Canis lupus familiaris: one gene and its partner. The protein of the gene in region 1 purifies or fractionates together with the protein of each later gene. This does not show direct contact. Links are inferred from orthologs where the notes say so. Each region holds a gene or a part of one and is shown on either strand. Other genes may lie near its edges. The genes, in order: NOP58 and NUFIP1.

Region 1 (4,455 bases):
GCCAGACACAAAAAAATGTATTACTCCATTTACATGAAATTTCTAGAAATGACAAAATAATACAGACAGTGGCTGCCTATATAACTGGGTCTGACTAACCTGCAAATAGCCAAAAGGTAACTTTTGAAGGTATTCTAAAACTGGATTGCAACTTGCACAGTTGTATAAATTTTACTAAAATGTATCAAACTGTATTTACAATAGGTGAGTTATACAGTATGTAAGATACCCAATAAATGAAGCTGGAAAAACATACTGCTCAGTAATCAATATAGAAACTCTGGTATACACAAAAAAAATCTCTTCCTCCAGGCCCTAAGGAAATGAACACAACACTACACTGCGCAGCTGCACTACACACTGTAACTATTAAAATTTAAATGAATTAAAACTAAGAATTCGTTTCCAGAGCTTTACCAACCAAATTTCAAATGCTAAATAGTTGTACGTGGGTAGTGGCAATCATATTGGGTAGCACAGCTACAGAAGGCCTGGGATAAGTAATAAAAGACATGCCTTTAGTCTTACTATGTATGCCACATGACACAAGGCACACAGGTTGAGTTTTTACAATATTCTAAAAATGGAAATAGTTCCTTTAGTATTGTCTTTGGATTCATATATAACCTTGTTAACATTCAATAATTCTTTTACAGGGATCCCTGGGTGGCGCAGCGGTTTGGCGCCTGCCTTTGGCCCAGGGCGCGATCCTGGAGACCCGGGATCAAATCCCACGTCGGGCTCCCGGTGCATGGAGCCTGCTTCTCCCTCTGCCTATGTCTCTGCCTCTCTCTCTCTCTGTCTGTGTGACTATCATAAATAAATAAAAATTTAAAAAAAAATAAAGTGTACAACTTACTTTTTAGTATATTTTCACAATTGTGCAACCACTACCAATTCCAGAACATACTCTATGTCTACTTTACTAACAATAATGGCTATGAATTGAAATATTTGGAACTGAATCATTATTTCCATATATTTAGTCCTTTAGTTACTTCTCCATTATGCTACATAAACCATAAACCACAATTTAATAATGTGAACAGTAATTTGCAAATGAATAGCGTTAAAAAACCGACAGAATACCTGACTTATTTTTATGGAGAATACTCTTCATTAAAAGAAATAAGTAATTCATCAAGAGAAATGAATATTTTATGACCTAGGCCTAGAAACCAGACAACTGCTAAGCCAATTCCCTCCCACCATCAGAGGCAACCAGTGGACTGTGCAGTTGCGCCTCCCTCTTAGTGCAGAGCAGTATACCTAACATCTATTTACCTGAAATTCAACCATATACAGTAATTCAAAATATGATAGACCATGTTAGCTAAGAAAATTTGGGGGCATGTGCAAAATTCTACTTAACAATTTAGAAAAAGATGGGACACCTGGGTGGCTCAGAGGTTGAGCTGCTGCCTCCGGCTCCGGGTATGGTCCTGGAGATCCAGGATTGAGCCCCATATTGGGCTCCCTGCACGGAGCCTGCTTCTCCCTCTGCCTGTGTCTCTGCCTCTCATGAATAAATAAATAAAATCTTTAAAAGTAAAACAGACACACTCCGAAGATCTAAAGCCTTTTACAGTCCCTTAAAATTTCTACTACTCCCCAATTGCAGACAACCCCAATGAGAAAAAAATAAGCAAAACCAGCTTTTGGCTTTTATGACTTTATCACTTAATATTAACATTAACAAGTGCAAATGGAACTGTATTTTCAATGTCTGAAAAAAAATCTAAAAAAAAAAAGGTCAAAAGCTCCTCGAAATCAACACTTTGGAATGCTGATTCCAGATTTTCTGCACTCATGGCACATACATAACCGTACTATACACGTTACCCAGCATTTTTACCCTAATATCAGCACATATACGAAAATTCTGGGTTTTGTTCCTACATTTGTAGAGGTCAGAAGACTGCATGGCATGGATAGCATTCAGTTTACCTCAACTTTGGAACATCTCAAGAAAGTCCCATTGTTTAACCAGCTCCGTGCTGATAATCTTTAAATTTCAGATTTTCCCTATTAAGACAAATCTCAAACTGATGACCACAGGCATAGATTTCTCCCTTAGGTCTTAAACTTAAAATGAGGAGGGCACTTCCACATCTCACAGACGCTCCACGTTTCACAGCAACATTGGACCTTTTCAGTATCTGCTCCCCCAACCCCCGCCCGGAAAAAAACAAGACAAAACAAAACAAAACAAAACAAAAAAACACTCCCGTTTTTCTTCTCTTCTCCACCATCGCGTACCCACTTAATCCCAAACCCACAGTCTTCATCGGCCCAATGCCACCAGTTCTACCTTCTAAATTTCCCCTGGCATTTGCTTCTCGACATACTAACCTGAATCCAAGCACTTTCATCTTACCTAGATTAAGGCAAAAAACATACCTGGTTCCTTTCTGGCTTCTTGTAACATATATTCTCCACGCGGGAAAGCAACTTCATTAAAAGACTTTAGATCAGGTCGTTCCTCTCCTTAAAACCTTTCAATCGGTTCTTAAAACCACTCAGAATAAACCTCAAGTTCCTTACCTTTACCTGTGAAATCGGTAAGACCCCTGCCCTCCTCTCTCGCCGGCCGAATCCTCTCAACAGAACCTGGCGCGGCCACGTGTTCACCGGAACACGCGTCTCCCAGGCCCACAGCCTTCCCCTGACTTTAGAGCAGGGGGACACAAACGGCTCCCGCAGGATCCCGAGCACTGTCGCCCTCCCCTTACGTCTCTCCCCGTCCTCGCCTGCCCAACACCAGCCTCGCCTCTCCAACGGTTCAATCTGCAACTTACCTTAAAGATGGCGTAGCCCACGGACGTCTCAAACAGCACCAGCATGCTGAGGCCGGGTCAGGGCACTGCGCGGCCCGCCGCGTGCTCTTACACCCGTGAAAAGAAACCAAACTTGCGGCCCCCAAAGGCCTGCAAGGCCGCAGCAGGCCAGGCACAAACGCGCGCGCCTGCTCGCAGAACCGGACCACGTTGCCTGACCGTTCCAACCGACTGTGTGTAGAATGTTTCAACGCGCTTCTCCTTCTCCAAGGCTCCTGGGATCCGACGTCACTTCCGACAGGCAGCATGCCGTCGCTTCCGGTATGTTCCCGCCAACCGGGTGGGTGATGGGAGGGGGAGAGGGGAGGGGAAAAAAAAGAGCGAGAAAGAGAAAGAAAGTGTCGCGAGATTTCTTTGGACTAAAGCGAGATTTTAAGCGGTGAGCTGCGCTGAAACCCAATAGGGAAGAAGGTCGCTTTTTACTATTTTTGAAGTTCCTATAGGTGATATAATTTATCTTGAGAGAAATGCGGAGCCGTCTCCGTCCGTTTGCCCCAGGCGTCTGGAATTGGGAAATGCCAGCCGCTTAACACCTGGAGAGCGCTGCCTTGAAGCGAGGCTCTCGGGCGGCCGCGGGACCGTCCCGGTCTACGCGAGCACGCCCGGCCGAACTGATTCTTAGCACAGGTGTCTTTCACGTATATGCAGACCTCTCCCGTTTTTTTTTTTTTTTTTTTTTAAGATTTTATTTATTTATTCATGAGACACAGAGAGGCAGAGACATAGGCAGAGGAGCAGGCTCGGTGCAGGGAGCCCGACGCGGGACTCGACCCCCGGGTCTCCGGGGTCACGCCCTGGGCTAAACCTCTGGGCCACCCGGGCTGCCCAGACCTCTCCCGTTTTTTGTTACAGTGATTACAGGGTATAGGCATTTAGACTTAGCGGAAGTTGCTTTTCTGGGACCTTTCAGTTTGAGTGACGGATTTAAAAACCTCTGTTAGTCCACAAGTCTGACTTTTTTTAGGAGTGAAATTTCCTTCCTCACGTTCCAGGCCTTATATGCCGATGGCTGTAAACATTAGGTTGCAATTTGCGGAAAGTTTTGGAACACTAAGTAACTTGATTTTTTCTTTTTTTTTTTTCCTCCTCCAAGCGGCTCTGCAACCTAGAATCAAGAGGAATGAAAATCCTGGACTGAATAGCAGAAAAGATGAGGGGGGAGGGGAATCAAGGGATTGGGGAATCTAGGGTACAGACACGAGCATGGTTGATTATACCCATAAGATTCAGTGTGGTCAGGGAGGCAAGAGAAACCAAAATGGGGCAGCCCGGGTGGCTCAGCCGTTTAGCGCCGCCTTCAGCCCAGGGCGCGATCCTGGAGACCGGGGATCGGGTCCCACATCGGGCTCCCTGCATGGAGCCTGCTTCTCTCTCTCTCTCTCTCTCTCTCTCTCTCTCTCTCTCTCTCTCTCGTCTCTCATGAATGAATAAATAGAAATCTTAAAAAAAAAAAAAAAAAAGAAACCAAAATGGCTTGATTGGGAAAGGAAGAGTGGGTGAAGTAGAAGCACTGGGTCTGTTAGTGGTATTATATCATTTCATAATATATATCTTTTTTTGGATCTAGTTTTATTTTTTAATTTTATTTTTTTTTAAATAATCTCTACATCCAAGGTGG
Region 2 (3,815 bases), on another chromosome or scaffold:
GGTCAGTATTTTTTAGGTTTTTCTTGAGAGGTCATTGCCTTTCATATTAAGAGTTGCATTTTTCTCACTCCAGGAAGATGAAGGGGATGTCCAGACATTCACAGATGGCAAAGATCAGAAGTCCCGGCAGGCATCACAAATGGAAAAATGACTGTGTTGGACAGAAAGCGGCCATTGGATCTGGCAATTGCTTGCGTGATTCGAAACCTGAAGATCCACCTGAAGCAAATTCAGACCCTCTGGGTGTTTTAGTAAACACTGATTCTGGTAAGCTAAACAGGAAAGCCGCGTGTTTACAAATGCATAGAACATGATCCTACAGTTGATTCTTCACAGCATTGTTTGTGGAGAGTTTAATGACAAATATGTAAAAAAAATAGAATGATGCTTTTGTTTTTATTTATAATAGAAGTGTCTTGTCAAAACCCTCATTTCAGGATATCTTTTCTGAATCTTGGGGAATGAGTGTGTGAAGCAGGCAGGATATGGAAAAAATTATATTTATTGGCTAATTTTCATAGTATGGTATAATCTTTTAAAAAATATTTTATTTATTACAGAGAGAGGGAGAGTACAGAGGTAGAATGAGAGAGAGAAGCAGACTCTTTGCTGAGCAGAGAGCCTGGCGTGGGGCTGGATCCCAGGTCTCTGGGATCATGACCTGAACTGAAGGCAGACACTTAACGAACTGAGCTACCCAGGTGCCCCCATTGTATGGTGTAACCTTGGAAATTGTTTTCAGATTGTTTTGTATGGGAGTGTGTGGGTTAGTTACTCTGTCAGTTAAGCATCCGACTCTTGATTTTGGCTCAGGTCATGATCAGGTCATGAGATGGAGCCCCATGTCAGGCTCTATGCTCAGTGAGGAGTTTGCTTGGGATGCTCTCTCTCTCTCTCCCTTTGTTTCCCTCCTGCCCACCACCCTCCACTCCCGTGCTCTGACTCTCTCTAAAATAAGTAAGTCTTTTAAAAAAGAAATTGTTTTCAATATATTGATGCTACAGATTCAAATTTGCTCAATTAGGTTAATTTTTCCCCACCTATGAAGTGAGTATTTCAACGGAAGCCAGTTATCATTTATGCTGCTGAGCATGAATAAGATCCCTCTGAGTAAATATTACTGTTTCATTATAATTGATACTGTTCTTCCTCAGTGTATAGAATATATTTATATTAGCTTTGAATTCCCTTACTCTGCCTTAATAAGTTGAAAAATTAAAGGACCAAAATGCTGCTAACCACATAGATATCATCCAGCCTCTGAGGCTCCGTTTTCCCTTCCGCAAAATGTAAATGTAGATGTAAATATTTCTACTACCTTTCCTTCCAATAACATTATGAGGCTTTATCTTACTGCATGTGTTTTCTCTTCTGCAAAGAAAGAATATAAGTGAGTGGACTGATGCTAGCAGGCCCTGTTTAGCTTGGAAGATAGTGGCTTCTATGATAAACATGGCAAATTATTAAACTTACAGATGGCAAGAAATGAGATAACTAATTCAATGACGGAATTAAGATGGAAAGGATCTTGGCTAAGAATAACAGCTTATAATTTAGTTAGAATAATAATAATTATTTTAACACCAACTAATACTTATTGAGTAAGGTACTAATGGTGTTCTACATGCTTTATACATGTGTTTCCAGTTTTCAGATCTTTTACAGTGCATATATACTGTTGCTACTTGTGTTTTATTTATTTTTTTTAAGATTTTATTTGTTCATTCATGAGAGGTACAGAGAGAGAGCGAGAGAGAGACATAGACAGAGGGAGAAGCAGGCTCCTTGAAGGGAGCCCAATGTGGGACTCAATCCCCGGACCTAGGATCATGCCCTGAGCCGAAGGCAGACGCTCAACAACTGAGCCACCCAGGTGTCCTGCTACTTGCATTTTAGAACTGAGGGACACAGGGTAAATAATTTACCTTAGCCCAGCTGTTTGAATTTAGGAGTCTGATTCCACTAGACTCTATGCTTCTTCTAAATGTGAAGTTTGAATTTATCTAAAAAAATACTGTATGAGCCTAGGATAGTTGAGATGTGGGAGAGAGTTTAGAAAAGGCATCTTTTTATCCTTGCTGATGATAGCAAAGAAAAGGCAGATGATGTTTGGGGCCAAGATTACTCTTGGGCACTGATTTTTTTTTTCCTTCAAAAGATGTTAGTGCCCACACTTTTTCAGATTTACAGTGTATGACCTTGATGATTAAAACCATCTATATCCAAATATGAACTTTCATGTCATTAGAATACTTGAAACACAGATACAAAGAATACTGAGAATACTGTTATAATTAGTAAGTTACTAATTTGAAAATTATGTAATTCTTCATGCAGTTCTCTAAATGAACATTCAAGGGACTCTAATGTTGAAGTCATCATTCTGTTAGCTTTGGTAGATGGGTACTTCTGTTTTCTTCCTCTCTCTTTCTCTCTTGCTCTCTTTTTAAAAAAAAAAAAAAAAATCTCTTGGGACAGCCCTGGTGGCTCAGCAGTTTAGCACCGCCTTCGGCCCAGGGAGTGATTCTGGAGACCCAGGATCGAGTCCCGCATCAGGCTCCCTGCATGGAGCCTGCTTCTCCCTCTGCCTCTGTCTCTGCCTCTCTCTCTCTGTGTCTCTCATGAATAAATAAATAAATAAAATCTTTAAAAAAAAAAAAAAATCTCTGCACCCAACATGGGGCTCAAATTCCCAACCCTAGATCAAGAGTCACATGCTCTATTGACTGAACCAGCTAGGCCCCTCTTTGTTTTCTCATTTTTATTTTTTATTTTAAAAATATTTTATTTATTTATTTATTTGAGAAAGAGATAGGGAGAGCATAGAGGCAGAGTGAGAGGAGGAAGCAGGCTCCTTGCTGAGCAGGGAGCCTGAGGCAGGGCTAGATCCCAGGACCCTGAGATCATGACCTGAGCTGAAGGCAGACACTTAACCAACTGAACCACCCAGGCACCCCTGTTTCTCATTTTTATTTTTATTTATTTTTAAAAAGATTTTATTTATTTATTCATGAGAGACACATGGAGAGAGGCAGAGACATAGATAGGGGGAGAAGCAGGCTCTCTGTGGGGAGCCTGATGCGGAACTCCATCCCAGGACTTCAGGATCATGCCCTGAGCTGAAGGCAGAAGCTCAACCACTGAGCCACCTGGGCGTCCCTGTTTCTCATTTTTAAAGCAGTATTTCAATATATGGTAATCTGGTGAAATACCAACAAAAAGATGATTATATATTTTGCTCTATTAAGCCTGTATCTAGGTCTTCAGGAGATACTTTAGATGTGAGAAACAGTAGTAAGTATCTTTCATCCTCGTGATAGAAAGTGTTTAGTCAGATTCCTAGGAGTAATGATATGAGAGACCTCAAGTAATTTTATTTTGGTGTCAATGTGGAGACCTTTACCTATATTGAGGGCCAAAGATAATTATGTAAGTCGTGAATGTAAAAATCTTACAAGTAAGTTATAGATTTATAATATTACTATTTTTTCTTTTTTTTAATAATATTATTCTTTAAGGAAATAAAAAAAGGATCAAGTTAGGGTAACTTAATTTTGTAGAAAAGATTTCATTTAAATTCATGTCATCTTTTACCTGGAATTTCTTCTGGATATTTACAATTCCCAAATCAATAGTTTGGTTGGTTCTTCAACTTTTCACTCCAGGTATAGCTACAAAAAACTATGTGTACCATTTTTCCACATGCTTAAATATTCCCAGCATGCCTACTCTCTGATCTCTTAGTTTTACACTTGTTTGGAGGCAACTTCCTTCTTAGGCCAGAGCGAGCCAACATTAAGATCAGTTGTGTTCAT

Evidence for each region.
Region 2: the proteins of NOP58 (region 1) and NUFIP1 purify together in Homo sapiens (co-immunoprecipitation; 3 studies listed by BioGRID and IntAct, with this or other methods). This does not show direct contact. The link is inferred for Canis lupus familiaris from reciprocal best matches to the Homo sapiens genes NOP58 and NUFIP1.

The regions. Positions count from the first base shown.
Region 1 is NC_049258.1:11,113,080-11,117,534, reverse strand, and holds the start of NOP58 (nucleolar protein 58), read right to left. Parts: upstream 3,068-4,455; 5' UTR 2,844-3,067; coding exon 2,799-2,843; intron 1-2,798. UniProt on the Homo sapiens protein: Required for the biogenesis of box C/D snoRNAs such as U3, U8 and U14 snoRNAs. Part of the small subunit (SSU) processome, first precursor of the small eukaryotic ribosomal subunit.
Region 2 is NC_049243.1:6,033,740-6,037,554, forward strand, and holds part of NUFIP1 (nuclear fragile X mental retardation-interacting protein 1), read left to right. Parts: intron 1-73; coding exon 74-267; intron 268-3,815. UniProt on the Homo sapiens protein: Binds RNA.